4 linked regions of the Tamandua tetradactyla genome follow. The protein of the gene in region 1 purifies or fractionates together with the protein of each later gene. This does not show direct contact. Links are inferred from orthologs where the notes say so. Each region holds a gene or a part of one and is shown in the gene's direction. Other genes may lie near its edges. The genes, in order: CLSPN, CDC45, ATR and RAD9A.

Region 1 (7,498 bases):
TTAGGATTAAAACATGGCTTTTCTAGGGTACATACATCCTTTCAAACTGGCACAACCCCCAACCACATTATCACTCTCTAACCTTTAGCACCCTTTATTTTTCTTCAAAGGACTTATCACTGCCTGATCTATTAAATATTTATCTACGTATTGTCTATTGTCTATCTACTGCTACAAGAATGTAATCTTCATAAGAGTTTATTCAAAACAGTATCACTTGGCCTGGCCAATTTTCAGGTGCTGCATAGCACCAAGATATAGCAACTTAAAACAACCATTTATTTCTGTAATTTTGGCTGGGTTTAGCTGGGCGATTCTGCTGTCTCACCCTTGGTCACTCTTGTGTTTGCATTCATATGGAGGCTCAGTAGGGCTGGATGGTCCAGGATGATCAGGTCTGACCGTTTGCTGTTGGCTGGGATGTCTTGATTCTCCTCTATGTGGTTCATTCAAAAGGATAGCTTGGGTTTCTGAAATGGTGGTGGCAGTAGTTTAAGATAATGAAAGTGGAAGCTACACAGCCCCTTAAGGCCCAGCCTCAGAAGCCACACAATTTTACTTTCACCATATGCTGTCAACCAATGTAAGTCACAAGTTCAGCCCAAATTCAAGAGATGGAGAACAAGATTCTGCCTCTTGATGGGAAGAATGGCAAAATCACTATGTAAAAGGGAGACGACAGAACGCCATGATTATTCTCACAATCTTCCACAATGATCCACAATGATCCTTTGTTGTCATTCCCTAAAAATCTTATCATCATTCCTGTCTCCATGCCTTTACCCATTCCATTTTCCCTGCCTAAAATAGTATCCGTTTTCTTCTTTGCCTATATAAACACGGACATAAACATCAGTTTTTCACTGATGTTTAGCAACCATGGCCCCACCCTTTACTGGCCCCACCTTGGCCAGTAAAACCTTAGTCATTATAACAACTGTGACAAATCCCCTGATTGAATACCAGTGGCAAAATCACCTTTTGGCCCATAGTGGATACAATATCGTTTTGTCTAGCTGTACCCCAACTATCCCCCCCATGACTTCCTCATACTGATCTACTTTTAGTTTCCCAAACATAACATGCTGCATCAAGCCTCTACACATGCCTTGCATGTCTTCTTCTCCCCACGTTGGCCTGCAGAATTCCAATTCATCTTCAAAAATCAGTTCAGGGATCATCTCTTGCTGACTTTCCCAAGGTGAAGCCATTTGCCCCACCTCAGGCCCCCAAAGCCACTTGATTTTAATCTGGTGATATAAATTCAGAAAACTTTCTACTAGTAGATCTATCATTCCACCACACAAATCAATATTAAAAAGAAAGTCTGAAATTACATGTCTATGAAATAATAAGCTATGAAATTTAACATGCTTAGCTCATCCCAAAGTTGTTCCATTTATATTTGCTCTTCCATTATTGCACACTCTTGTTTGCTTGCCTGTTTCCAACCCAGCAATGTGAAACTCTTTGAGAACAAGGCTGTATTTTATTTATCTTTATATTTTCAGCATCTAGAATAGGCTTAAAATAGGTGCTCAAGATTTCTCAAATAAGTGGATGAGTATGTTATGGGTACTTTAGGTTGTGGCAAAGGACATTCTGCACACAAAATAGCTGATGGGAAAAGGCCCTGGTACTTTTTTTTTTTTTTAGGCTATGATATTTTAATGATTCAGTCAGCAATTATTTATTAAGTGTCTACAATGTGTCAGGTCCAGTGCCATTTTTAAAGGTCAGGGGTTAACTATAGTAAGCAAGAAAAATAGCCCTGGCCTTCAAGAGGGCACTTTGCAAAAGAAGCTTTTTAAATATATAGAAAAATGGCAAGGGGTCGTTTTTAAAAGCAGATACTTGGAGAAAATAAGCATTTCATGCCACCAAAGGAAACTTTAAGTAACTCTGAACAATCTTAAAATGAAAAGAAAATGGTTTTAGGATGGAGTGGCTGCTAACCATGGATGGATTGACATGACCAAGACATAACACATGGTGGCGCTGCTTCCCAGGGATGAAGATTAAAAATCCGTGTTTGGTGATTCTAGAGGTTTTAGGACTTTAGAAAAGCAAGTCGATCTCAAACTTGGTTCAGAGGAATAACAGCACTAGAAAATAAACATGGTAGGCTTTCTCAATTTGCAGAGAAGTTGAAATAAAAGATACAATTTAGTTAATTTTCTCCTTCCAAACTTTCTTAAGCCTTTGGGGCCTGCATTTGATTGTGTACCAGTGAGCAAATAAAAATAGAATACTTTGGAATGGGCTGAGCATGTTAAGTTCCATGGCTTATGATTTCATGGACATGTAATTTCAGTATTTCTTTTTAATATTGATTAGTGTGATGGAATGATAGATTCTACTAGCAGAAACTTTTCTGAATTTATATTACTGGATTAAAATCAGCAATATTGCAAAGCATTTCCTACAAATACCATACTTTCAGGTGCTCTGTCAGTTAAGCCAATCTGAGAATCATGAGCTGATCCAAGGTCTGTAAATAAGACAGCAGGGCTCTGAAAAGCTAAATGACTTACATAAGGCCATAAAGTCATCTATGGGACAGGCTCAGGCTAATCCCTTTAAACACTACAGATCTTTCCCTTGCAGCCACCTTCCATCTCCATCAAAAGGTACTCTAGGAACTTCAGCTTCCTTTCTTCACCTCTCATTCATTACTCAACCAATTACAAACTGCCTTCTATCCCCACACCCACCAATAAGATCCTATCATCATCCTCTTTTCCTCTCATGTCTCACTCTATCCACCTTTATCCTTTTATTATTAATTTCTACACTGACGATTCCAAAATATGCATCTATAGCACTCACTCTCATATTTAGAGGGCTAAGATTTTGGGGGCGCTGACTCCGTGCCAGAAGTAATTATAAGTCTCATCTTATTACTCTTCACAGTAACCTTGTGATTTAAGTAATACTGTTACCTCCATTTTAGCAGATGAGGAAACTAAAGGCCTTTAAAAAGCTAGTAACGGGGAGTCACACCCTGTTCTGACTTCAGGGATCCTAGAAGCCATCCAAGAGAACTTGCCTGAGTAGTCTCTGCATTTTCCCTCCTTTCCCTGCTCTAGTTTCCCAGTAGCATTTATTATTGTCTGAAATTTTATTTATGTCTATTTATTTTCTGTTCCAAAAGGACAAGCACTTTGTATTATTTACCAATAGCTATTCTCTACCTTGAGCAGGCATCAAAATCATTTCAAAAGCTTGTTAAAACCCACAGTGGTGAGACTTCCTGCCCCCAAAGTTTCTGATTCAACATGCCTGAAGTGGGGTCTGAGAATTGCATTTCTAACAAGTTCCCAGATGATGCTGATGTTGTTTGTTGGTCTGGGAACCACACATTGAGAACCAAGAACATCCCTGGCTCATGGTAGGGGAATCAATAAATATTTGTTGAATGTACTTGACATATATTATTCTTCCCGAATTCTCTCTCAAAAGTGTATCTTCAAATCTCTCTGCAACTTGTGAAAGAAATTTTCAACTCCCTAATGAAGTATCCAGCAAATGTCAAACTTGTCTAATCATTTGCACCTCAAACCTACTCTGCTTATCTCATAATCACCTCTACTCTGTCTTCCAAATTCAAAATTTTCAATTCTTTCCTTTCATTCCTCCATCTAATCAGTCTCCAAGTTTTGTTGATTCTACCAATAAATGGCTCTTAACTATAACACCCATTTCCCAGCACCTTAGAAAACTTGGAAGAGGGAACCAGCGGAGAGGGTGACCAACCATCCCAGTTTGTCCGGCAGGGTCCCAGAGATGTGGGAGTTTCAGTGTTAAAACTGGGAAAGTCCTGGGCAAACTGGGACTAGTTGGTCATCCTACTGGTGGATAGAACTGTGAGTGGGAGAGGTGGTAGGTGTGGTAAATAGGCTGATTTTTCTTTCCTTGCGCTCTTTGTTCTCCTCATGGTGCCCTTCGATGGCCTAACCCAACCTGAAGCCTGACCACAAGATGGAGTAATGCAGTGCCGGGAGGTTCATTTTGCTGTGACACAGGGCAGGAGAAAGAAAGGACAGGAAATGGACCTGGAGTAGCAAAAAGATAACCAACCTACTGGCAAAACTGGGATTAGAATTCTCTGGGATTACTGTGACTCCAAAGCTTTTACCTTTTTGCTTTACAGAAAGATTGAAGTGGGATGGATGACAAAGATAGTCTTTGCTATGTGAGCAGACCACAATGTTTCTTTTCTTTTGTGCTCCGTGGCATGAATGTCATACACAAGAAGGGGCAGACGGAATATAGCTGGCTGAAGGGCTGGAGCAATTGGAGAAGTCCCCCAGAGGTGCCTGGACTCCCGCTGGAAAGATTCAGAACACCACAGGAGCCCTGGGACCTCCTCCCAGCTCACTAACCGCCTGGAGGGCTCACTCCTCAAATTGCGCTGGATGGGAGTGGCCGAGCTATGGCAAGGGTCAAAGGTCAAAGATCACCACTGGCTTGTTACCTTCTTGCAAGGCCAGAAACCCGATCTCCCGATACTTTAGCGCACCTTCACCCCAGCACCCGCTCAGCTGACAAGACGAATCGCGACCCGCCAACCCGACCCAGATTATACTACTCGGAGGCGCTTAGTGATTGGTAGGACGGAGTGGGGGGCAGAGACTCCGAAAGCCTCTTTCCGATTGGTGCAAATCATCGAGGGTGGGGCTTCCACTCCGGCTGGGCGCGAAAGCTCGAAGCGGGCAGCATAGCTGAAGACGGCTGGAGCGGGTACTCCCAGACAAGGAGCCGGAAAGCTGCTTGGTCCAGAGCACAGCGCTGTGGTGACTGGAATCATGACGGGAGACGTGGCTCCTGAGGTGAATGTATGTACGTCCCTCCATCCGGGCTGTTGAGGCCCGGCGCCGAGGGGCGGGGAGGGGCACTGATGGAGACTAGCAGAGCCGGGTTCGCCTGGCCTGGAGGACTACAACTCCCGGCGTGCCCCGCGGCCGGCTCGGCGGCCCCGGGACTCTGCGGGTTACTTTTCCGCGGGCGGATTCCTGCAGTTCCTGGATTCCCGCTCTCCGGCTTCCGGAGTCTTTGCGGCGCCCCTTGCCTGCAGCCAATTGTTGTCTAGCGCTTGCCCATCTCTCCTCCACCTGCCTCTCTGCTTTGGCGCGTTTCCTGACGCGGTTGCTTTTCCTCTTAAATCGCCCCAAAAGAGGAAGGCCCAGGCCGAATAGGGTCGCCAGAGTGCAGGGCAGGATTCTCGATAGAGGCAGCGTTGTTGGGAAGTTTGAGATTTGAGTCTAGAAGGGGCCTTTGATGTCCTCGCGCGCTGATGTCACCCTAAGCCCTCCCTCCCTCTCCCCCCGTTCTCCGACTAGGCCCGCTGTGGGGAAGGAGCGGTTTCGAGCCTTCCCGATTGATGGCTGACTTTTGGGCTTAAAAACTACATTTCCAGATTCCTACTGTTTTCTGGGGTGCAGAATTTAAGGCGGCAAAACAAAAAGAAACAATAAAAACCCCTCTGGCTAAAATATCTAATAGTTTTTAAATCAAAATTAATTCGAAACATTGATAATGTGTTCCTGACCAAATGGGGGAAAAGAAATGTAATAAAATAAAATTTCAATAACTAAGAGATTTTAAATAGAGTCGGGAGACTGTTCTGGAGGTTACTCTTATGCAGGCTTCAGCTAGATATTGCAAAATGCCATGGTATGCTAAATCCCAACCAACAGTATTCCTGAAAACCCTAAAGAATACCCAGTACTCTGAGACTGTATAATAAAGTTTCACTTACTGAGTTTGCTTTTCTGAAACCTAAAACCTCCAGATTGTTCCTATACCAGCTAATCCCTGAAACCCAGAGGTACCAGTCTCTCCAAGAACATCAACCAGCTGCATCCCCCTACCCCATAAGGTCAACACCCCTTTTCAACATGAAGATTTTAGAATGGTCATTCCCCAAATAGCCCTAAAGTTTGGGAGAAGGTTCAAAGGAGAAGGAGGAGTTATAACCCAGAAGATAGGATTTAACAAATCAGTATGACTATTGAATCATATTGATATTTCTTTTTAGTCTCCAGTGTATTAGAATAGCTAGGGGGAAATATCTGAACTTGTGCAAGTGTAACTCAAATCATACTTTGAAATTTGTTCTGTAACTACTTGTTAAAATGTACTTTGAAATTTATCACTTTTTTGCATGTTATTTTTCAAAATAATTGTTTTTAAAAAAAGAACAAGAAACCCACAAAAATCAAAATTAATGCAAAAAATTCCATGATTTGATAATTGAACAAAATATCAAATAAAGACAAGATCCTCCCTGCCTCACTCACCTTACCCCACCTCATTCTCCTTACAGTAATCCAGTCCCTGATTTCAGTCCAATGAAATTTTATTTACAAAAACAAGCAACTGGGAAAAAAAAAACAAAAAACAAGCAACTGACCCCATGAGCCATAGTCTGCCATTTTGATACTTTAAAAGATATTGCATTAAAATATTATTTATCTTGATTACTGAGTTTTTCTGGTGTGTCACCATCTCCTCCTGCTTTTGTTGTAGCAGCTGCTGCTAGAAATTGCCTGGAATGGAAAAGATTAAAAGCTTTATCGTGTACAGCGCTGTGTGGTTATCTAAACTCAATTTCTGCATCTGCAAACAGAACTAATCCTTTTTGGATTGTTGGAAGGATAATCAGGATTTACCTCATAATTCCCAGTGATTCCTCAGTGTGTTACATTTTGTCATTATTTTAATAGGTGTATCAGACATTGAAATCGATTTAATAGTTATTTGAGAGGTAAGGCCTTGTGCCCTGTTACATTACAGATGTTAATATTTTCCCCCTTTTTAAGAAGTTTTGACTTAGAGCCCTGAGAACACTAAGGAGGTAGTAGACCTGGCTTCTGGGGTCTGCTTTGTCACTAACTGGTCAAGTCATTTAATACACCTCTCCTTAAGTTTTTCTAGTTTGTGACTTTTTAAAAATAAATTCCTAAACCTATACAGACTTAGAGAGACTGATACAATGAACCCATCACTCAACTCCAACACTTTTCAAATCATGGCCAGTCTTGTTTCTCCTATACCCTTACCCACTGCCCCCTATACCTGATTACTTGGAAACAAAACCATACATCATAGCATTCCATCCACATATTTCAGCATGCGTCCCTAAAAGCTAAGGGCTGTCTTAGTTTACTAGGGCTGCTTTAACACCACAGACTGTTCGGCTTAAAGAAGAGGAATGTACTGTCTCATAGTTTTGGAGACTATAAGTCCAAAATCAAGGTGTTGGCAAGATTGTGCTTTCTCTGGAGTCTGCAGCATTCTGGTGGAGGCTTGTTAGCAATCCATAACTATCTCTGCCTTTGTCACATTATCATCTATCTCCTGTCAACTGTCCACATTTCCACTGCTTATAAGTCATACTGGATTGAGGCCTCCCCTGATTCTATATGATCTCACTATAACTAATAACATCTTCAAAGATCCTTTTTACACATCAGTTCACATTCACAGAATGGGG
Region 2 (8,018 bases), on another chromosome or scaffold:
CCAAGCTGAAGAGCCAGGGTGAATGTGGGCTGAGGACGGCCATCCCCCAGGCAGTAGGGCAAGGAAACCCGCTGTGGGAGGGGTGGGACAATGCTCAGAACCATCAACACACATTTACTCTAAAACTTAAGTTCATGATCACTCCGACAAGGACCTGCGGGAGAAGCAGCTGTGCTTTTGTGGGCCACAGGGTTTGGCCGGCAAGGGAGTGTCCCTGCAGTTCCAGCCCATGGCCAATGCAGGGTCTCTCAGCAGCCAGATGCCACACTCTCTGACCAACTCCTCCAAGTGGCTGCCGATCAGATCATGGCACTTCTGCTGCCTTCTTCCTAGGTGAAAGGAAGGCACATGGAGGGGAAGAATAGGGTTCCTGCCTGAGAGGCCACTGTGCCCTGGACAGACCTGTTCCTCTTTGGGCCATGCAGGGCCCCAACTGGCAGTGGCACTCACCCAGTGTGGGAGGTAGCAGATGCCCTCGTCGGCCACGAACTCCAGCACCCCACAGTGGGTCATGCGGTCTGAATTCTTGTTGGTCAGTTTGAAAAGCATGGGGTAGGTGATGTTAAGTCGGCCTGAAAAGGAGAGGGGGTGTAGAGGACACAGGTCTGAGAAAGGAGGGACACCCCGCCGCCACCACCTCCCCAGGAAGTGGCCTCCCAGGGCTCCTGCAGGGCACCCACACAGCTTGGACTGGTGGAGCAGGCACTGGAATCCCACGTGGTCTTCAGCCCCTTGGGGTCTTCCACCCACAAGACTCCATGTTCCTTGAGGCGGGTATGAATTCCTCCTGCCTGCTAGAGCACAGTGCTTGGCCCCAGAGAGAAACTTGGAATGTGTGGGGCATAATATAGCACTAGCTGAGGTATGCAATGATCTCAATTTTAAAGTGGCATTTCTTTTTTAAGTGACATATTTTTAAATGTATTCATAAGTAACTTAAGTGCCAACCAGGTGCTGGACAGAATCCCCGCCTCCAAAGGTTTCTAGTCTATAAGGGTGAAAAAGAGAACAAATAAGTCCACCATAACGCTGCCAGTGTCGTGGGAGTGGTCAGGGCCAGCAGGAAGGGCCATGGACTTGGGCTGGGCGAGTTCTCCAGGACTGTCGCCCAGCAGGGCAGCCAGTGGATGGGACACTCACAGTGAGGCATGGCTGGAGCATGGAGATGGGCTCAAGAAGGTCAGGATGGGGGGAAGCCGTGCCAGGACCACAGAGGATAAGCAGAATACCCAGCCCCTTGGTCAGGAACATGGGCTCTTAGCTAGTCCCAACCAGTGACTCCTATGTTCCAGTGACCTGTGGGGTCAGGGATGCATGGCGGACCAGGGACCAGCAATTGGCTATGGGGCAGAAACCTGGCTCAGGAGAGGCAGTGAGGCCTGGAAGGGAGGGGGCCAGCATTGAGAAGCAGGAAAGCCCAGGAGATTGGGGTGCTGGGGAAGAGGCAGGAGACGGCAGTGGCTGTGGATGCTATGAACCAGGCCGTCGTCGACTCTTCCCAGACACGGCACTTTCATGACCCCTTTTTACCTATGAGGAGGCTAGGTAGCATGCCCAAGATGGCACAGCTTAGGAGGGCCAACGCCAGGCTGCTGGCTCAAGTCTGGCAGTGTCACCAAGAAGCCATACCGTCTTTGGCTTATAGCATTCAGTGAACCAGTCAACACATTTCCATTCAGAAACGGGGTTAAGGCAGACTGTATTTGACCCCCCCACTAAGAATCCTAAATAAAGCAAACCCAGTGAAGACAGCTGGGGCAGGAAGTTCTGGCAGTTCTTCCAAGAGGAAGCCCCTCAGAAGTAGCACCTCACTGCAGAGGCAGCAGTGGGAAGAGGTGTCCCCTCCTCCTTGCCAAGGGTGGCTTCCAATGTGGTAGCTGAGTGGCAGTGGGCCCTGAGGCCAGTCCCGTGCCCAGAGCACCTCACAGCTGACCTGAATTATCAAGTTGCTTAGAAAATACTTACTGAGTTGATCGAGGGCTGAAGGTGGCATGATTACTGTAGAAAGAATATTTTAAAAAGTATTTAAAAGAAAAAAAAAAGGCAGAAACAAAAGCCAAAATGCAACTTTTGTTAACCCCCCCCAAAAAAAGTTATAAGCAATATTTTAATTTTAGGACAACCAGAATTTCATAACGATCTTTCATAAAGAATCTTATTTAATGTAATTTATTTTAAGGAACTGAATAGGTACCAGCTGTAAATCTCATCAGAATTAACCAACCCCCTACCCCCTCAGCAAGTCTGGGACAAGCAACATTGTCACTGGAACACTAGCTTCCAGTTACTGGACAAAATAATGCTGTGGAAGGGGATGGCTACAAGCATTGCGGGCTTAGGGGCAGGAAAGGTTACGAGTCAAATAAAAACAAGCACATACTCTTCCCTCCTTTCTCCACATCTGACCTGTCATTAGGCCCTGCGAGCATGGACACGGAGAAGCAGCGGTACTGTGTGGAGAAGCGGTTCTGGAAGACCCGCGGGATCGGGTGGTCAAACATATTGAAGGAGAACTAGAAGGAGAAAAGAGGTGCTGGTGTTAGAGCTAAGGAATATTTCTTTATGTCAAAAGCCAAAACACATGAGGGTAACTGATGGTGCAAAACATCGTCAAAGAGCAAAATGTACTAAAATCTTCATGTCCTGCCCAGGTACAGAGGCAATCTCAATCTCTGGGTTTCAATTGGTTCCACCGTCCCCAGCCTAATCCCTCAGATCTTGTCTCCATCATTTTTAGAAAGTGTGATTTACCAAAATACAAAGTTGGCCGTGGCTCAGTCCTTTCCTTCACCTCCCTCAGGGGCTCCCCACCGTCCCTGGGGCCAAGGCCAGATCTTTCACAACTCAGAGACTTGCTCACTGACACACGATCTCCCAAGCCTGCCCAGAACATTGTTCCTTTCGTTAATTTAATAAATGTTTATTAATCTAAAAACACATACTTATCGAGTGCCTACACTCTTCCAGGTTCTGCTCTGAGCACTTGGAAAACATCAATGAACAAAACAGATACAACCTCTGCCCTGTTGGAGCTGACCTTCGAAACAAGGGCTCCAAGCAAAAGTAAACCCAACCATGTCAGGCGGTGGTAAATGCTGTGAAGACAAGAGGCTGGGTAAGGGGATGCTGTTTTAAACAGGTGCTGAGGAAAGGTCTCTCTGTAAAGAACTGAATGAGTAGGAGCTGGGCAAAAAGCAAAGAAAGGCATTCCAGGCAGCAGGAACCGCAGGCACCCAGGGTTTGTATTCCTCCACCTGGCTCTCCATTACCATCTTTTCCCTTCCTAGGAAACCTCTGCTTTGCCAGCATTAGGTCTGGGGCTCCCCCAAAGCATTTCACAGTGCAGAGTAGGTGTAAATATTATGCTCTCCCCAAGAACTTCCTCACATTTAATCAGTAAGGCCAAGACACAGCACCATTAAAAGGCAAGACCCCACCTCTTAATGAGTGTGGACTAAGATGAGGTTTAGAAAACATGTTGCTCCTCCGTGATGGGTTTTCTCAAAGTACTGCAACTGCTGATAATGTTTCAAAGAGAATAAAACCTTGCAATAAAATATTTCCTGACTTGGCTCCACGTACACATTAAATACAGGAGAAAGCCACCTACTGATATTATTTTACTAGCAATTCCAAAATTGGTAAGCTGGATCAGCTATCTTCCTAAAATGCAAAATTAGCACACTCCTACATAAAGAATGGCAGATGGTTCTTCAATTCCTGGAACTCTAGTACAGTAGCTTTTAAACTGTAGTCTCTCTCTTTTAAGCAGTTGATGCTGTTCAACAATATCTCACCCAGAAGCCTGACAAATAATACAGGGTATCTCAGGATCTAGAGAGGGAGAGGAGTGGAAGCCTTTCCTGAACAGCTCACACTACACCATCCACTGAGCTGGTTCTTCTCTTTGCAAAAAAAGAGGAAACGCACCCAAAATATGCAACACCCTTCATCTGCCTTCAACTCCCCCATGCACCTGACCTTCTGCCCCTCCCTGCTGCTCCCGACCCCCACCTCTTACTATACTTTATAATTCCGATTCCTAGCACTGGGCCTGGCACATAACTGGTATTTGCTGTCTGTTAAGTGGATGAACCTGGGAGCAGAAATATGATTCAACTCTGACACACTTAGGATAAAATCACACCCATGTCGTTTACTGGAATGGGCTGATGATACTGAGGCAATGCTGCTGCACGATGGTAATGAGCCTGAACAGAAAAAGGGACATTCGAGGACGTAAACATAACGAGGTCGTGAACACAATCTGGGCATGAACCAGGAGGCACTGAGCTCGAGGAACTGGGGATGTCCCTGCCCAAGGGGGAGCCCCCCATGATTCTGCTCCCCACCTCCAAAAACGTTTAGATTAATTCCGTGCTTATGAAACCTGCTTCTTGTCTTACACTAACGAGACCACGGGTGGACACAAACGTAGAAGGCTACTTTTCACCCCTAAAGATCTCAGAGTCCAGCTGAAGGAAAGGCGGACCAAGCCCGGACAAGCGGAGATGCAGAGAGGCCACCTGCGGCCCAGGGCCTAACCTGGTACGCGTGACTCGGCATCTCAGCCGGCTGCCCCACCCGGCCCCCGCACTCGGCCAAGCCTGACCGCGCTCACCATGACTGACACCTCTGCCTTGCAGGCGCCACTTCCCCTAGAGAACGTTACGGTGAGAGCCGCCGAGCGTTCAGCCTCTCCACCACAGCCGCCGCCGCCACTCGGACACCCCGGGACGCTCACCGGAAGGCAGTTCTGACCTGTGCATGCTGAGGGGGGAGGACTGGGCCGAGGGCCGTCTGAAAAAGACAGAAACCAGGACAAAGACCCTATAACCTAGAACTTCCCTCGTCGAAAGAACAGGTAATACCGTTCCCTAGCTAGGCTCGCACTCTACAGCTAATTCTTTCGAATTATTTTAATTACATTTTGGCGGTACTCCCCTCCACACGAACCTGGTAGAGTCCATTGTAGTTCCCGACTACACTACCCAGAATGCACGCTAAATTTCCGGCCTCTGGTTCAGACATAGAGAAATTGGGCGGAAGTTAGCTACATATCCGCCTTCGAACTTCACCGAGAACCTATTGAAAACGAAACGAGTTGCTCCTTATTCGAAGCAAAACTAAGTTTAATTTATGGCGGGCAGGTTTCTTTGTTTTGGACTTCCCCGTGGGAAGAAGTAGGCTTCTTTTCCCACAGTAAAGATGTCCACCGAGCATCAGGCTTCTGGGTAAATGGAAGTCAGAGGTTGAAGGTGGCAACCATGTTTACGTCCTGCAGGGTTAGACGCTCCTTTCCGGGGGGCCGTCCGGAATTTTCCAGCCGTGGTTGGCGGAGCGCTAGTTCCCGCCCCTACCATGGCCCAATCAGGAAGGAGGCATGGCTGGGAACCGAGCAGCTATTGGTTGGCGGCATGGGCCAATCGAAAGAGCCCTGTTTTTTGGCGGGAGTCTTGACCGCCGCTGGAGCCAGCAGCGTCCCGGTGCGAGCGCAGGGCGTCCGGCCGCCGTGGCCATGTTCGTGTCCGATTTCCGCAAGGAGTTTTACGAGCTGGTCCAGAATCAGGTGAGTCCCGCTCCGGGTCCCCCAGCCGGGGCCCTGTCGGGGGCGAGGGGCGAGGTGGGAGAGGCCGTGTGCGGCCGGGAGGGCGGGAGGGACGTGGGCTCGAGTCGCTGCGCCCAGCCCGCCCGCTCTTCCCTCACAGAGAGTCCTTCTCTTCGTGGCCTCTGACGTGGACGCGCTGTGCGCCTGCAAGATCCTTCAGGTGAACCCCGCGGGACCTGAGAGGGCGGGCCAGGGTCGGGAGGGAGCACGTCGAGAGGTGAGGGCGCAGGCCGGAGTTGTCACTAGAGCATAGACCACTGAAGGCTGGGGACAGGGCCCCTGAAAAGTTACCTCCCTGGCTGTACAGTGTGGGGTGCGTTAGCGATGAGGCGAAAGGCAGGCAGAGCAGTTAGCATTTTTTGCAATAACCTATGCAAAAAAAAAAAAAAAACTTGCATTCAAGACCTATGGTGGCCTTTTAAGCGTGAGGTTTGAGAGACTGGAATCTGTGACAACTGAGGCATAATGGTGTGTCGTAACCATACTGGAAACACCGGGGCCGTGGGTCCCCTCAGGAATATCTGTTTTGAAGATGGGACTTTTCATTGAGCTTCAGTCAGGCAGTTGGATCAGGAACTTCTCTGAAGTCCTAGAAATAAGAGGAGCTTTTTTCTCCCAGTGTTTCACTTTAGTAATTTTCAAACATTCCACAAAGCTGGCAGAATGATGCAGTAAAAACTGGTACCAACCTTGTTTTAGCATCTATCCTCTGATGCTCTTTTAAAATCATCTTTCCTTTTTTGGGGGAAGGGCAGGTGCTGACTTGCCCTTCAAGGAAATTGCAGATATCTTAAGTGAGGTAGACTTAGAAAATACTTTCTCTCCAGGCCTTGTTCCAGTGTGACCACGTGCAGTACACGCTGGTTCCAGTTTCTGGGTGGCAAGAACTTGAAACTGCGTTTCTTGAGCATAAGGAACAGGTATGAAAGATGCGTTAGGCTAATAGGCTTTGTAACTCGATTGCAATGTCTCAACACTTAGAACTTTTTCAATTCAATAATAAGTTAAGCAGATATTTAATTATCGGCCATATTAAGTAACGTTGAAGAGAAGGGTATAATGTGTGTACACTGGTCACTTATTCTCAAGTTGTAGAGGCAGAATTGACAATTAAAAAAGCCAGTGAATATCAATATTCCCTAGCTTTGAGCTTGTGTTGCAGAAATTTCACCATACAGCGCATGAAATTTAGCAGTTAGTTTTTAATAAGGCATAGTGAAAACTATCTTAGAATATGCTGACATTTTATGTTACCTCTCCAAGAAAACGTATACTAGGTTCCAACTTGAAATCCAGGAATGTCTCTTCTCCTTTTGTAATTTAAACAGCAGAGGCCACGGCTCCTTGCACCTCTGCATGGGACTATAATGAGTGATGGGACATCTTGGCCGCACAGGGAGGGGCTGGGCTGAAGAGAAGGGTTCGTGGAGTCTTTTGCCATATCTGAGACTGTTCTGGCAGAGCTAGTCCTGGCCTGCAGCTCCTGTCTTCATGGGAGGGATCTATGCCAGTTTGATATTTGTAAGGGAAGGATTTCCTATGGCAATTGCATGAATGAAGAACTGAACTTAACATTTAGGTTCCCTGAAGATATGAATTGTTCAAGATCTGCTGAAGAGCTAAAGCTCTGCAATGCTATGAGCAAGGAGAAGCTGTGCAGCACAGTGACTATGGGGTCTGGAGAGATCATTCTATGTTTGAAGTCTTTATCCATTCCTTGTTAACCGCAGGTGCCTGTGTGCACAACTCGGGCTCCTCTGCACTGCAGGCCCAACCATAGCGCCTGCCCCATGGTGAGATGTGGCGATGAGATGAAGGAGCAAATGAAAGCACTTGCTACAGACTACCCATGGCTGTTCTCAGAGTCCCCTAGCTTCATCCTGGGCCTCAAGCCCACCATAGTGCTGGGGACTCATTGGGTCTCTGCAGAAACGCTAAGGCCTTGTGCCATGAACGTAAGATACACCTCGATGAATGTATATTATGGTGTCTATGTCCCTTTTTAGTTCCGTTACTTTATCCTTATAAACTGTGGAGCGAATGTAGACCTGTTGGATATCCTGCAACCTGAGGAAGACACCATATTCTTTGTATGTGACACCCACAGGCCAGTCAACGTCGTGAATGTGTACAACGACACTCAGGTAACCAGCTTCAGGGGCTGTCTTAATTTTCCAGGGCTGCTAGGACGCACTGGTGGGCTTCAGCAAGGGGAATTTACTGTCTCTTTGTTTCGGAAGCCAGAAGTCCATAATCAGGGTCTCGACAGGCCACAACTTCTCCCAGAGTCTGTGTACTGTGGTGCTGGCTCACTGCAGTTCTTGGTGTCCCTTGGCTTGCATCTCTGCCCCTGTCACAGGGCTTCTCCTTCTGGCTTCTGCTTTTGCTCAGGCATCTGTCTCTGTTTAGA
Region 3 (7,328 bases), on another chromosome or scaffold:
GCTCCTATGTATCAATAAAAAGACAAAAACCGAATAAAAAATGGTAAAGTTTTAAATAGGTAATTTACAGAAAAATTCAAATTATTAATAGACATACTAATATAACCAGGGAAATGTATACAAATACATCTAACTGCCTTACCCTAGACCAATTAAATAAGAATCCCTGGGAGTGGGATCCACGTACTTTCTAAAACTCCCCAGGTAATTTCAATGTGCAGCCAAGGATAAGAACTCTTGTTCTAAAACAGTTCTAACTCAAAATGTGGTCCATGGACTAGCAGTGTCAGCATTACTTAGGAGCTTGTTAAAAATGCAAATTATTGAATTCCTTTTCAGATCTAATGAATGAGAATCTCTTGACTTGAGACTCAGGAATCTGTTTTAACAAGCCTTCCAGGCAATTCCTAAGCATGCTGAAGTTTGAAAACCCATACTCTGTAACCTCTCCCCTTAATTTTCATGTATATCACAGTCACTAGGAGTATAGCATCAGATGAAACAGCTGAAAGTATTTTGAGAAAAGCAAAAATATTGATTGCAAATGCAAATAATCCTTATTATTCCCATAAATCTGATATAATCTTAGGGTCATACTTGACAAGGAAAATGACAATAATTCACAACTAAGATATAAATATCCCAACTCAAGGGAAGTAGTCCATGTTATTATTTCTGAATTGCCTCCAAATACAGTGGAGTTCCAGTTTTATAATATATCCTCAGTAGATGTGAAATTGCCACAAAGATAGGAAGAAAAATGACTTAACTTTAAAGTTCTCAAACACTATATGCGTTCCTTTATTAGAACTAAATGTTTTTCATATTAGATTTTTGCAGTATTTCTACTAAACAGGCCAAATGGATTAGTGCAGTTATGTTGTGTTTAATCATTTATTCTACTTTATTAATTTAAGAATGTTGGCTTGTGGCTATGTTGGTCTATTATTTGAGGCTTTTTCTAATGAAAAACAACAGACGTGTTCCTTTCTTACCCATTAATCTATGCCTGACAATACTCAATACTTATTCAAGCTAATGAAGCAGGCAAATGGCATGATTATATCTGGGTTTTGAAAAGGTTGTTTTGTCTGCTGTGTAGAACAACTCCACAGTGATGCGTGTGTGTGTGTACGCAGGAGGTGAACATGGAGACCCATTCAGGTATAGAGAGGAACTTGTAAAACTTCTGGTATTTTTAAAAGATTTCTATTTTAGTGTATACTTTATGATGTACATTAAATAGCAAAATCTTAGACTCTATCATAGACACATTATGACAGAACCTGCACAACTAGCCCTCCAGTTTAGGCATCCAGCCAAGGACAAGTTCATCTTGGTCTCAGCTGGGTTGCAGTGCCACCTGGTGGTTTCCCGCCCTAGTTTACTCATCAGTGGAGACAGGTCTACACACACGGCTGGCTGGAACTTCCTGATCTGGGACACTGCTAGCACCAGCCAAACTGAACCATTCATCTCTCCCTAATAATGCTCTTTACTTTTTATTCACATTGCTGCCTCTAATTAGACTATATTACTCTTCCTCGGTCACTGTCTCTCCAAATCCTACACATCCTTCAAGTCCTATCTCAGATATGGTTTTACCTTTTCCTGGAGCCCCTTTGCATTCCACCTCCTCTCTCCATTGGAGAAGACATACCCTTTTCCTCTTCTATATATTTCATTGTAACCTGTTTATATCTCTTATGCATTTATCAATTTTTGCTTTACTTTTAACTTTTTGCATTCTTACTAGATTGTACATTACTTTGAGATTGACTTTATCGTCCTCTTCTTTGTATCACAGTAGGATCCAGGCAGTACTTTTCAGAAAAATCACTTTTTGAATTAAATTGGATTATTTAATTTCCTATTATTATTATTCTATTACTTCAACATTCGGGGATTCATAGTGTCTTTTAGAATTATAATGCTATTCAGCTATTGCCTTTCAGATAAAATAGCAATTTTTATAATCTTTCTTCATATCTAAAATAGCTAATATTTATTACTTTTTAGTTGATAAAGTGTTTTATATGTTATCTAACTTAAGCTTTTAAAAATATATTTGTGCCAGTTAGAATCTATTATGTACCCCAGAAAAACCATGTTTTAATCCTGATTCTTATCTTGTGGGAGTGGCTGTTACTTTTAATCCTGATTCACTTTTGTAAATGGAAAATTTTGATTAAATTACCCCCACAAAGATGTGTCACGCCCAACTGTGGGTGTGACCTTTTTTTAGATGGAGATGTGACTCTGCCCATTCAAGGTGGGTCTTGATTACTGGAGTCCTTTAAAAGGGGAAACATTTTGTAGAGAGCTCAGAGCAGAGCTGACACAGATACAGACACTTGGGGAACAGAGACATGGGTGTTTGGAGATGCTTGGAGCCCAGCAGACGACGCCATGAGATGTTAGCAAGCCAGAACCTGGAGAGAGCCAAGGGAAGCCAAGAGATGAAAGCCAGCCCCAGAGAAGCAAAGTGAGGAGCCCTCACAGGAACAGAGGCTGAAAGCAACGGAGCCCAGGAGCAGGGGACCAGCAGATGCAGCCACATGACTTCTCACCTGACAGAGGCGTTCCTGACCCATCGGCCTTCCTTGAATTAGGGTTATCTTTCCCAGGATGTCTTGCTTGGGCATTTTTACAGGTTTAGAACTATAAACTTGTAACTTATTAAATTCCCCTTTCTAAAAACCATTCCAATTCTGGTATATCACATTCCGGCAACTTACAAACTAATACATCCAAAAAATGTATACATCCTAACCATACAAAGAATAATATAACATAACAAATATAATGTTAAATTTGCCACATTTACTGAAGAGTCTGTTAAAACCTTCACAAATAGTTTGTCTCAACATTTCATTATCTCCCTTTCTAGAAATACCACTATGAAGTTGATGTATCCTTCCCAACAATGTTTCTATACTTTTGTTATATACGTATGTATACATACCCTGAGCAAGGAATTATTTTGCGCTTTAAACAGTGTACAGGAGTGATATAATACTGTTATGTAGTCCTTTGCAATTTGTTTTTTCACTCACATTATTTTCAGAATTCATCTATCCAAGTACAACATAATTCATTCAAGAAATGGTATTCCACTACACGACTTTAATTTTTACTGCAGTCTCATGAGTTAGATTATTTATGGGTGAAATAAAGTGGAGTGCAAAGAGATGAAATAGAGTTTCATCTCTATAGCCATAGAGTTTCTAGCAGGTGGAATGAGGAGTTGTCCAGGGCTTCCAACTCCTAATCCTATGTTCTTTCCACCACAGCACTCAAATACTCATTCAACAAACCCTTGTTGAACACCGGCTACGTGCCAGACACCGTTTTAGGTCCTGGGGACCTAGCAGTGAACAAAACAGACAAAACTCTGTTTTCAAGGAGCTTATATTCTAATTGCAGGAGACGGTCAATAAAATCATATGCAATATATCACTTGGTTCTGGGCGCCCTGAAGAAAAACCCCGCAGGTCCGCGGGAGCGAGCGTGAGCGCGCGCACCGGCCGGCAGGGGGCGGGGCTCTGGCGACGCCGACGCAGACCGGGGGGAGGGGCGAGGGACCGGCGCCTGGACCCGGGCATGGGCCGCGACGCCAAGGCCCCGAGGCAGGCGCACACCCGGTCGTCCCTCTCTCCTTCCATTTGTTCGCTGCTGTACCGACATGTATCCCCAGGCCAGAGAACACAAGCGAGCACGCTGCACGGCTCCGCCTGGTGGAATACACGGTTTTGCCGTGGAAACAGCCTCTGGTAACGGTCCTCTCTCAGATGACCAAGCCGGGCTGAGGGAAAAGTGTCGAGAGCCAAAACCCAGTGATTTACTTTAAAAGTTAAGTCATAGGTATCCGAGGCCCAGAACGGCGACACAATAATACGGCTAAGGTTTGAGGAGATATATAAACACAAACCAACCCCAATTTTAAAAATTAAAGGTTGTGAGAATCCTCAATAGACGTAACTTTAAATGGAAAAAACCTGCTGAAGTATAGAGAGGAGCGGGAGGAGCCCGCCTTTCCCCCGATTCCCTGAGAAAGGTCGTCAAGGGAGTGGAGAAATGAGGAACCCCTAAAACCTGGGGGCAGGTCGGCGAGGGCGTCTGGGTCGGAACCGCCAAGCCCCCGGCCTCCGGGGCCGCGGGGCCTCCCAGCCCACGGGGCAGCGACCCGCAATTCGGAGCCCAGACGCTCGGACGCGCAGACCCGCGCAGCGCCGGGCTAAGCGCGAACTATCGCGAGACCCGCTCGCCCGCCGCCGGCCCCGCCCTCCCCGCCCCTCCCCCCCGAGTCCTACATCCGCAGCAGCTTCGGGGAGGAGTTTTGGGCCCCGCGAGGCACCGTCGCGTCTTCCCGCTAAAGGTAGCGGTGGTGATGCCAGGTCCCCGAGTCGGCGTCGTGGACGAGTAACGCGCGGCTTCAGCATGGGCGAGCCCGGCCTGGAGTTGGCTTCCATGATCCCGGCCCTGCGGGAGCTGGCTAGGTAGGACCAGGCTTGGCCGCTTTGGGTTCCCGTGTCCTCCCCGGCGGGCCGGCGCCTCACGTGGTTCCCCTCTCTGGCGGCGGCCCTGCCCCGGCCCTCTGAGCACCCGCTTCGGCCTTTGTGGAGACGTTCGGTGACCGAGCTGGGCGCCTCGCCCTCAGAGGCCGGACAGAGGACGCCGTGTGTCCACGCCGTCCGCGGAAGCCGGCCTGAGGAACTGAAGGCGGCTGCCCGCACGCGCCCGGCCCCACGGGGGTGTGTCCGCCGCCGCCGGAGGAGCGGCCCCCGTGGTCGCTTCTGGTCACTCTTCTGAAACCCGGTCGCTTTCCGAAAACCTCTTTCCTTAGTTAAAGGGCCTTGCCCAACACCTTCCCCAATATCTACTCTTAGGTTCGCTCCTGGAGAAGTTAGTATGTTACCGTCTTGTTCCAGAACTGCCTTTGGAAGAAGCATCAGCGGCTCTCATTTTCTGCAAGGACGGTCACTTGTTAACAGCGTAGTTCCTTTCTTCAGAGTGAAGTCGTAAGCCATTCTAGAAGATGTGAGCCCCTTCGTATCCCCCTCCGGTCCCCCACGCCATTATTTTACTCAGGCCGTGGAAATGCCTGGTATCTGAAGAAATCCGACGGATTGGCCAGAGCAATCGCAAATCTAAACTTTCAGTGTTGCATAAATTTGGAGTAAATTTAACATTATTTCCAGAGCAATCGCAAATCTAAGCTTTCAGTGTTGCATAAATTCGGAGTAAATTTAACATTATTTCCAGAGCAATCGCAAATCTAAACTTTCAGTGTTGCATAAATTTGGAGTAAATTTAACATTATTTCATTTGCAAATTTCTGTTTCCTGTTAGCGCTGCAGTAAAGTCAAGTCCACCGGCACCTTAGCGGTGGAGGGGAGAGGTGCTGGTAACCGCAGTCCCCCTGGGACACGTTTCGCAGGCTTCCCAGCTCAAACAATAAGCCTGAAGAGCCCAGGCAGCGGGTTTTGTTCCTGTGTTTACCCTGCCAGTAAGAAGGCTGGTGCTACTACCCCAGATGAGTTGGGATAATAATTTCTTCCCAATTTCTTTAGGTGTTTGAAACCTTTCCATACAAAGTGGAAACTAACATTAAACCGGTGGAATAACTAATTCCCTTTCTTTTTGCAGTGCAGTCGTGTTTATCTCCACTTGTCTACCTTGCAAAGAAATTTAGTCTTTCTCAGTTACATAAATTAGAGGACAGATGAAGAAACCTACATCATTCTTGTGCCAACTGCATCACCCTGTTTTCTGTGTGTGAAATTGTTTCCACTTTTGGTGAATGTTGCAAGTATGCCTTGTGTTAAACAATGTTGCAAGTATATTTTGAGTTAACATTTTGTAAAGTAACTTCTTGACTAAAAGAAGATTCATAAAAGTGCTTCTTTAGGAAGTTGTGCAGATTTCATTTTTCAGACTTACTATTTATGAAGCTCAGTATATTTTCCCCATCTTGCTTTAATGTAGAATTAGTTGGTTAAACTTTCCTTTTCTCTCTTCCTCCATAAGATATATTAATACAAATAATGGTATCTTGGATTTGCATTTGTCTGTTTCTTCAACAGAATGTGTTACCTTTCATTTTATTTATTTGTAGCCATTCCAAAAGAAAGGATAGAAAAACTGACTTATGAATAATTGCCTAATACTTTTAAATTATCATGTCTGTTTTATTGCAATGACTTCAAGCCTTTGCTATTACTAGCTGTGTGACTTTAGGCTAGGTATATAATCTCTGTGAGTAGTATTAGTCTTCTCCTAGACAGTAGTATCCTTATCTTGTTGCTTGTGAATATTAAATGAAATATCATAGACAATATGTTTTAGCCCACTTGCTGGCACAACAAGTCTATATCTCTAAAATAGACATTTCTTGTGGACTAGAACTGAATTCCAACTATCTCTTGGACATCTCCAATTAGTTCCCCCAAATCAGACTCAATATTTTTAAAACTGGATTCCTTTTTCTCCCCAGACCTGTGTTTTGTCCTGTATTAACTCTCGGTGAATGGACTCACAGTTCTCTCTACCCCACTTAACATTCTACCCCACTGTGTTTTTCATCTTCCCACTAGAGGCTCCTACTGTGTTGCCTGGCACATGTTAGGTGCTCAAAATGGTTTGTTCAAGACTTAGATGACTATATGTTTCCTTATACTATGTGATAGCAAACAGATTTTCTACTACGTTCTGTGTTGGTTTAAATTAAAGAATGGAGCTCAAGTTGAATTCATTTAGGCTTGTAGGGTACCATTCCTTAGCTTAACTATTATATCTGTTCCTAATATATATTTTTAAAACTCAATATATGTGTTTTTTCTTAACTTTTTAAAACTTTCATTGTGGAGAATTTCAAACATTTAAAGGAGAAAAAATAGTGTATGTATTAATTCCCCTTCTACCCATCACCCAATAATAATCAATTCATCATACTCCTATTTGCAACTCAGATTACTTTGGAGCAAATTCCAGATATCATTTCATCCATAAATATCAATATTTGGCTTTAGAGGATAAAGACTTAAACATAGTCACAATATCATTATCACACCTACAGAATAATAGTTCCTCAATAATATCAAATATCTAGGCTGTTTAGATTTTCCCAATTTTACTTTTGAAGCAGAGTTCAATTTAGGATCATACATTGTAATTGGTTGGTATGGCTCTTAAGTATTAGTTATAGGTTTCTGCTCTCTTCCTTTGGAATTTATTTGTTGAAGAATCAGGGTTCTAACAGATTTTCCAGATGTCTAGATCGGTACCATCTGATAGAAATATAATGCAAGCTACACATATAATTAAAA
Region 4 (7,160 bases), on another chromosome or scaffold:
AGATTGGGAGGAGGCTTCCTGGAGGAGGCGGCCCTGGATGTGGAGGAAAGGGAGGCATGGATGGTTGGATGGATGCGTTGTGGGTGTTCCCAAAGGCACGGTATCCTTATCCAGCACCCAAACACCCCCAGTCCAGGGCCTGGCACCCAGAAGGGTTTCCTATGAGGTCACTGGACTGACTGTTGAAAAGTAGAGGGGCAGAAGGCGGAGGAGAGGGCTTCAAGGAAGTGGCAGGTGAGGGGAGATGGGAGCCAGAAGGAAGGAACAGGCAGGGGGAGGGGGGCCAGCAGCAGGGAGATGGCCAGGCTGTGGGGCTTTTTCCTCCTAGGGAACTGTGACCACGAGCAGTTCAGTTTCTCTGCACTTACTCAAGCGTTTTCCACCTAGCCTCTGCCAGGCTTTCTGTTCAACAATCAATAAGACAGCCCTTGCTTTTAAAAGCCTTCTCTTCACTTTTCCTCCCTGTCCTCTCACCCATCCAGGTTTTCTCTTCAAATGAGTCTTCAGAGGAAGACCCTTCCCCACAACCCTGCCCTCAGCAATCAAGGGCCAAGGGGGACCGGCGGGTCCGCAAGGGGCCCTGGCCTGCCCTGAAGTCCCGCCAGTCTGTGGTTGCCCTCCAGGGCGCTGCCCTGGTGGCTAGCCGGGCCCGTGCCTTCCAGGAGCAGGAGCAAGAGCAGAGAGAGGCTGGCTGTCCCCCCACACCCAGGTTCCGGAAGATGGTTAGGCAGGCCAGCGTGGATGACAGTGGCGAGGAGGGTGGGGCCTGAGCCCTCACACACACACGCGTGCTCCCCTAGACACTAAATGGAGGCCACAGCTCCTCGGACAAACACTCCCCACTCCTCTCTGTCTATACACTTTCCTCTTAGCTCCTCCCCAGCGTCCCCAGACCCGTCACTACAGCCTCACCCTCCTAGAGCCTTCAGCCTCAGACCCTCATCCACCTGCCCAAGGGCTCAAGACTTTATCTTGAAGGATGCAGTAGAAAGCCTGACAGTGCCTTTGGGGGCAACAGCACCCTAACTTCTCTCAACTGCTGCCCTAAAACCTTCACCTGCAGCCACAGGAATAAAAACAGAGTTTGGCAGTATAGAAAGGCCCTTGCCTCCCTCCCCACCTCCCACTGCACCTCATTTCTGGGGCCAACTAGGACCAGAGAATGCATGGACCACCACGGCAGATGGTACCTCAGTCCCCAGTCCAGGGAGGCCCTGGGGCCGCATGCTGGGCTGCTCTGACGGGCTGGCATGTGAGCCCCCTGTGCACACCTCACAGCTGGCCCAGGGGTTTTGCTGGTGCCTTCTCCCCACGGCACTGCACTGGGTCACAGGGTACCAGGCCAAAGAGAGTCGTCTTTTTGTCCTTCACAGCCTCTGGCCAGTTTTTCACAGTCTTGATAGTATCTGGCTTTGTACTTAGAAATAAAAAGACATTTTCATATTAAGTTCTTTTCAATTTTATGATTGAGCCATTTTGTCATCAGTCAAGTCCTTCTCTGGTTGCATGAGGAGCTGGCTTCTCATTACTACTCAGTCACATCAGAATTCCCAGATGTCTCATGACAGACCCTTTGGGTAGTGGGACGTTTGTGGGGGGAGGAGGAGGGAGAATGCGGGAGAGAAGAAGGGAGGCCACTGCTCTCTCCCTCATCTCCTGGGGCAGGGCCTGTGTAAATGTTAGCTGCCCCTGCCCCTCAGGAAGCTCAGGCAGGCCAGTGAAGGAGCGAGCCCATGCCTTGGCAGCAGGTGTTTGGCTCTGTTGGGACAATTGAAGGGAGTTACCCATGAGGAAGCGGAAGCTGCCACTGCCCATCTGGACAGGACCAAGCCTGTTCCAGAAGCTCAGTCTCCTCTCAGACACCCAAGGCTAGGTAGGTCTCAACCACTCTGAGTCCCAAGCATCCCTTCCCTCTGCTACAGGCAAGACAGCCAACCCATCCTGGCCAGGAAAGAAGGACCCTCGCCGGGCCCCACCCCTTCTGCCTAGGGGTTCCTTCTGCTCCAATTCAGTGTTCAAGAGTAAGTGGTCCCACCTTAATTAGTTCTGGCCCCTCTTTTCAAGATCATACTCTCAGCCCTACGACACACTGCTCTGGTTTGGGTGAGGGGTTGTACAATTCCTTTCAAATATTCTCGTCTTTGAGGCCTCACTTGCAGTTTTAAGATGGACCCCCTCACCCAGACCCTGGCGTGACTCCTAGCAGCGCTTGGGCATCAAGCCAAACACTGGAGATGGGGGTGGGGGTAGGGTGGGGGTGGGCAGGAAACCTGGAAACTTGGAGCCTCGCTCTGGCTTTACCACTTACAACTTAGTCCACCTCAAATCTCTGTTTCTTTCTATAAAGCAAAGGACTTAGACAGGAAAATCTCCAAGCACCCTCCCTCATCTGCCATCTATGTGAATTATAGCCTCTGCACACCCTGCTAGAATTCAGCCTCCCCATGTTTCTAGAACAGGAATCCTTTGCGCCTGTCTATGGGAGGCCTGCCTGGGGTTGCAAGGTGGGGTACAGAGAGGCTAGTTCTGATTCTTGATCCGCTTGGCTGGCTCACCTTGCTGCTGAACAAACAGGGCTGCTAGCCACCCTACAGCCAACCCGGACTCCCACTCAGACTGCCATTTCAATCTTCCTAGGCTGGGGCTGGGGGTGTTGGTTTTGGGACAGAAGCCAAGGCCAGGCCCTCCCCTCCTGCAGCCTGGGCAGCTCAGAAGGCTGGGTCCAATCATGTACTGGAGGGAAAACTATTTGCATTCAATATGCAGGCTAAAGGATTAAGGACCGTATGTGTATAAAAAACTTGCACAAATTGCTAAAGGAGCAAATGAAAAATAGTGGAAAGGAAATAAGGACATAAAACGAAACATCCTCCTATTCCTTCCTCCAATCCATCACTTCCACTCTTCAAAAGCAACAACTGTTACCAGTTTCTCCTGATGCTGCATGTTCATGTAATCAAATGTATTAGCGTGCATATATTCTTTTTAAAATAACAATAGTATATTAACTTGCTATTCTGCGCTTCGACATTTTTTTCATGTCACGAAGAGTTCCACATCAGTACAGAAACAGCTGCCCCATTTAAAAATAACCACATATATCCTATTTTATATACCTTCATTTATTTGTGGCCAGCTATCAATAAGTGCTTAGGTTGGTTACAGGTTTTTGTTTTTTATTTCGAATAATGTTTCACTAGACACCCTTCTACGTATTTTCCTCTGCAAACATAACCACCAGGTCTGTAGGACATGTGCTAGAATTGCTGAAGCAAAGGACAGGGACATTTTTAATTTTGAGAGGCACTGGCTAATTGTCTCTCAAAGCATTGCCCCAATTTACATCGAATGGGAATGCCCCTTCATATCTTTAACTGCACATCAATGTCATCTCACATGAACCTTGCAACACTCCCAGAGGGACAAACGGCAGGCACTATAATTACCTCCATTTTAAAAATAAGGAACCCAGGTCCAGGGGAAGTAATCGAGTCTCTAAGGGACCGGAACTAGATTCTAGGGGCCTAGTCTAGGGGTCTTACTCGGGTGTGGAAAAGGTGGTTCCTGGGAAGTCAACGCACAGATTTCACAGTTCTGCCCACGGCGGGTTCTGGGTCCGGCACCGCCTGGAACTCTCCAGGGGGAGGGTCAGGACGACTCCCGCTCACGGAGTCTCCCAAGTCACCTCCCACTTAGGCTTCCACGCAGCAGGAGAGGTCGCCTACACGTGCAGGAACCGCATCCGTTCCATCCTGGGCAGCTCTCCCCGTCCGAACGGTCTCCCTCTGCCTAGCCCGGTTCGGCCCGGACTGAGGAGAGGTCTCTGCCGACGCGGCCGCCCCCCTGCCCGGAGCCAGGGCAGCTCCTCTTTTGAACAAGTTTTCAAACGCAAAATCGAGCGCGCTCAAGAGACCGCGCCCCCTCCCCTCCCCCGCATCCCAGGCGCCTCTGGGCAGCGACTGATTTGAGTCTACCTTTGAGGCCTCCGCGGCCTCTCCTTCGGAAAAGTGCCGGGGAACCCGGACGCCCAGCTGACTTGAACCCACTGCGACGCTCGGGCGCCATCTTGCGTCCATTCTTCTGGCCTCGGGGAGGGGGAGGGAGAACAGCCGGGAAACCACATTTCCCAGCGTACCTAGCGCGTTGGCGCAGGCGCAAAGAACTTCATCTAGTTTCCATAGGAACCCGTCTTCTTCCTCTTCCCTCCCGCAGACCCCCACTCCCTGGGTGCCGAGCCGCTTGACTCTCCCGAACCCCAAGGCGTTTCTCCTCTTGAGGTGCACTGGGGCTTGGAACGGGTCTGCAGAAGGCTGACCGGGTAACATAGGAAGCTTGAGGGGAGGAAGTCAGGCCGGCCCTGCCTCCCGGGACCAGCGCTCCCGAATTTTCCTCAGTTGTCCGCGCGCTACTGGGGCCTGAGCGTTCTGAGGCGAACTGGCCGGGAAGGCCCGGGCCTGCGAGGCGGGTGTCCAGCTCTGGCCCGCGCAGCCCCGCCGTCTCTGCGCCGGACCAGCGCCTTGTCATCCCCAGCCGCGGGCCTGCGCGTCGCCAACAGGTACTTGCGGGGCTCGGGCCGGGTGCGGGCGGGGTGCGGGCCGCCGGTGGGATGGTTCGCGTCGCAGGTGAAGGTGAGACGGCGCCCCGCAGGGCCGCGAGCGCGCCCGGGGTTCCAGCCCCTCGGCCTTTGATGAACTCGGGTACCGGAGGAGTCCCAGCCCCTCGGGGGTTTGGCACTCCCCCACACCCCGCTCTGCAAAGTCGGGGATTGGACTTGATTTCCAGTGCCCATTGCTATGCCGGGGCAGCGCTGCTCCTGGCTCTCTGTGACCTGGGGGACGAGTGCCTTTATGTCCTTGAACCCATTTCCTTTTCTGTAAAATAAGGAGGTTGAAACGGATGATCCCTAAAATCTCTTCTGCGTATTTTGCATCCTGCTGAAACCGTTGGTATGGTTTGAGCAAGAACCTCAGCTCAGAACCTAGAGTCAGAGAAACCTGGGTTTGTGACTCTGGGCAAATTTACTGCATCTCTTGAGCCTCCATTTTTTTTGTACAAGTGGAGATAATGATAGTATGACCTCAGGTTTTTGAGGAATAAATGAGATAATCTATATAAGTTTTTAGCATGGGGCCTTCACGTAGCAAGCGCCATTCCAAGTCCCAGCCATCATTTCTGATAACATTTTAAATTCCTTAGCCACTATGAGACCATTTCCTAATTTTCTGGAGTAACTTCCTTTATTGCTGGTTAAATCCATTCTCTGTACACGAAGTTGGATGCTAAAGACAGAGGTTTCTCCCTTCTTTAGCTGCAGGCTGGGTTATAGCATTACCACATAGCACCTAGGGAAGGCCAAACAACACAGAGTGGAGAAAACACCTTCTTTTCCTTACGATTCATAGAGGATGAGAACACACATGACAGATGCAAAAACAGCTGAATATAGAGCTAAAATCTATTTCCTTAAGACTGGATATACACAATAGTTATGAGAAATACATCGTAATCCTGTGCCGCTTGCATTGAGTTCAAACTTTGTGTTCACTGGGAAAAGCCTAGCAAGGAGTTTTTAATTATTATTATTTTTTTAAATCTGGGACCCCTCCCCCCCACCCCCCCAAGCAGCTTTACAAACAAGCCTTCATTCACCCAACAAGCATCTTTATGTGGAAGCTGTGAGACATTATTCTGCGAGCACTTCCTGAGTTCCTGTTATATGCCTGGTACTGTGTTGTGAGGGACAGGAAGATTTATAGGACAATCTTTGCCCTCAAGAAGCATAGCATGTAGGATAGAAGATCAAATAGGCATACAAGACTCATATAATACAAGGAGAAAGAGCTGTGTCCAAAGAGGGATATAGGTGATAGAGCTTTGAAGATTGGAAGGCAGGAGAGACCCTGTACTTTACCAAGAGCATCAAGGAAGAGACAGCATTTGAGCTAGGGCTTGAAGGATGTGGAAAATGTGGATATGCCAAGAAGTAGGGGAAAGATGCTCTGGGTGCCCTTCCCACAGCCCCTCGAGAGACCTGGAAGAGAAATATCTGTATCCTTGGTGAGCAGGGACTGGATTCTGATCAGTGTCTTATTCAAGCTTGATATCTGGTTAGCACCCTTTAAATATTAGTGAATGGACCAGGGCTGTGAGTTTCCACTAGCAAGGAATTGAGGTGAGATCTCTGTGTTACCTGGAATCCCTTTCATTAGATTCATATGCCCTCTGACAGCTTTCCTTTCAGAGGAGGACCGTGAACAGGCAGATGGATTGTAGGTCAAGGGCCGTGTTGGCATGTTGAATGCAGTACCTGTCAACTAAGACCGGTGAACAGGATCTTCTGTGAATAGTTAGAAGGATTTGTGAGTCTTCTTCCCTGAAAATGAGGTAAAGAAGCCCAAGGGAAGGAAACTTCCACTGTCTGGAAGACAAGTGATGAACACTCCTTGGGCTCTTGTGGCATTTGTGTCCATGTCTGGTTTTTTTCTTGGCTCCCTCATCCTCAAGAATATTTCTCTCCCACCTGTGATCTACGTGGAGTGGGAAACTGCATCCACCAGGCCAACAGGTTGCTAAGGCCTGTAGCTGCTGCAAAGGAATGATGTTACCTTCAGCAGCACCTTCTTCAGTCTGACTTCTGGGCCCTTGCCCTTCTTCCAATCCTGCCCAGGGCTAAACATGTCCCAAGAGGTAGGCCCCCTCGAGAGAAATGTTAATTGACTTTCAGAGAGGAGAACTATCTCAGGATGGGATGGAGATCGTTTTTGAGAAGGTCACAGAGAGGATTGAAAGGAGAATGGCTTGAGAATAGGCACGTCCTCCCATATCCTGTTTTACCCACCAAGGGTTTAGATTTTCCCTGAAATCCTCTGTTATTACAGAGGAGACCATCTCAGCCAAAGAGGGCATGGGCCATGATTGACTACCTGTTTCATTCCTAGGTGTGGGATGGTGCAGGACTTCTGAGGGCCATAAATGCCCCTTTTCCTGGAGACATGATCCAAAGAGAGCTGTTGGAACCATCTCTCTAACAGTACAGACTCCCACCCTGAGCCCTGTTATTTCTCTCCACCTGCCTCTTCAGTTTGCTCCTATTTCCCTGGCTACAGGTAAGTGTCTGCTGGATGTGTCAGGGTTCCCTGTAACTAAGTGGAAGCTTAAGA

What was found.
Region 2: the proteins of CLSPN (region 1) and CDC45 purify together in Homo sapiens (affinity purification with western blotting; 4 studies listed by BioGRID and IntAct, with this or other methods). This does not show direct contact. The link is inferred for Tamandua tetradactyla from reciprocal best matches to the Homo sapiens genes CLSPN and CDC45.
Region 3: the proteins of CLSPN (region 1) and ATR purify together in Homo sapiens (affinity purification with western blotting; 3 studies listed by BioGRID). This does not show direct contact. The link is inferred for Tamandua tetradactyla from reciprocal best matches to the Homo sapiens genes CLSPN and ATR.
Region 4: the proteins of CLSPN (region 1) and RAD9A purify together in Homo sapiens (affinity purification with western blotting; 3 studies listed by BioGRID and IntAct, with this or other methods). This does not show direct contact. The link is inferred for Tamandua tetradactyla from reciprocal best matches to the Homo sapiens genes CLSPN and RAD9A.

What each region holds. Positions count from the first base shown.
Region 1 is NC_135328.1:189,610,542-189,618,039, forward strand, and holds the start of CLSPN (claspin), read left to right. Parts: upstream 1-4,486; 5' UTR 4,487-4,808; coding exon 4,809-4,838; intron 4,839-7,498.
Region 2 is NC_135331.1:27,901,425-27,909,442, forward strand, and holds the start of CDC45 (cell division control protein 45 homolog), read left to right. Parts: upstream 1-5,004; 5' UTR 5,005-5,383; coding exon 5,384-5,569; exon of another isoform or gene 5,570-5,650; intron 5,651-5,708; coding exon 5,709-5,768; intron 5,769-6,435; coding exon 6,436-6,528; intron 6,529-7,614; coding exon 7,615-7,752; intron 7,753-8,018. Other genes in the region: UFD1 (ubiquitin recognition factor in ER-associated degradation protein 1), read right to left, coding at 451-572, 1,966-1,998, 2,381-2,513, 4,622-4,800, 4,928-4,970. UniProt on the Homo sapiens protein: Required for initiation of chromosomal DNA replication. Core component of CDC45-MCM-GINS (CMG) helicase, the molecular machine that unwinds template DNA during replication, and around which the replisome is built.
Region 3 is NC_135341.1:86,773,862-86,781,189, reverse strand, and holds the start of ATR (serine/threonine-protein kinase ATR), read left to right. Parts: upstream 1-4,318; 5' UTR 4,319-4,440; coding exon 4,441-4,499; intron 4,500-7,328. UniProt on the Homo sapiens protein: Serine/threonine protein kinase which activates checkpoint signaling upon genotoxic stresses such as ionizing radiation (IR), ultraviolet light (UV), or DNA replication stalling, thereby acting as a DNA damage sensor.
Region 4 is NC_135335.1:7,100,227-7,107,386, reverse strand, and holds the start of RAD9A (cell cycle checkpoint control protein RAD9A), read left to right. Parts: upstream 1-4,141; 5' UTR 4,142-4,555; intron 4,556-6,938; 5' UTR 6,939-7,106; exon of another isoform or gene 7,107-7,160. Other genes in the region: SSH3 (protein phosphatase Slingshot homolog 3), read left to right, coding at 483-770. UniProt on the Homo sapiens protein: Component of the 9-1-1 cell-cycle checkpoint response complex that plays a major role in DNA repair. The 9-1-1 complex is recruited to DNA lesion upon damage by the RAD17-replication factor C (RFC) clamp loader complex.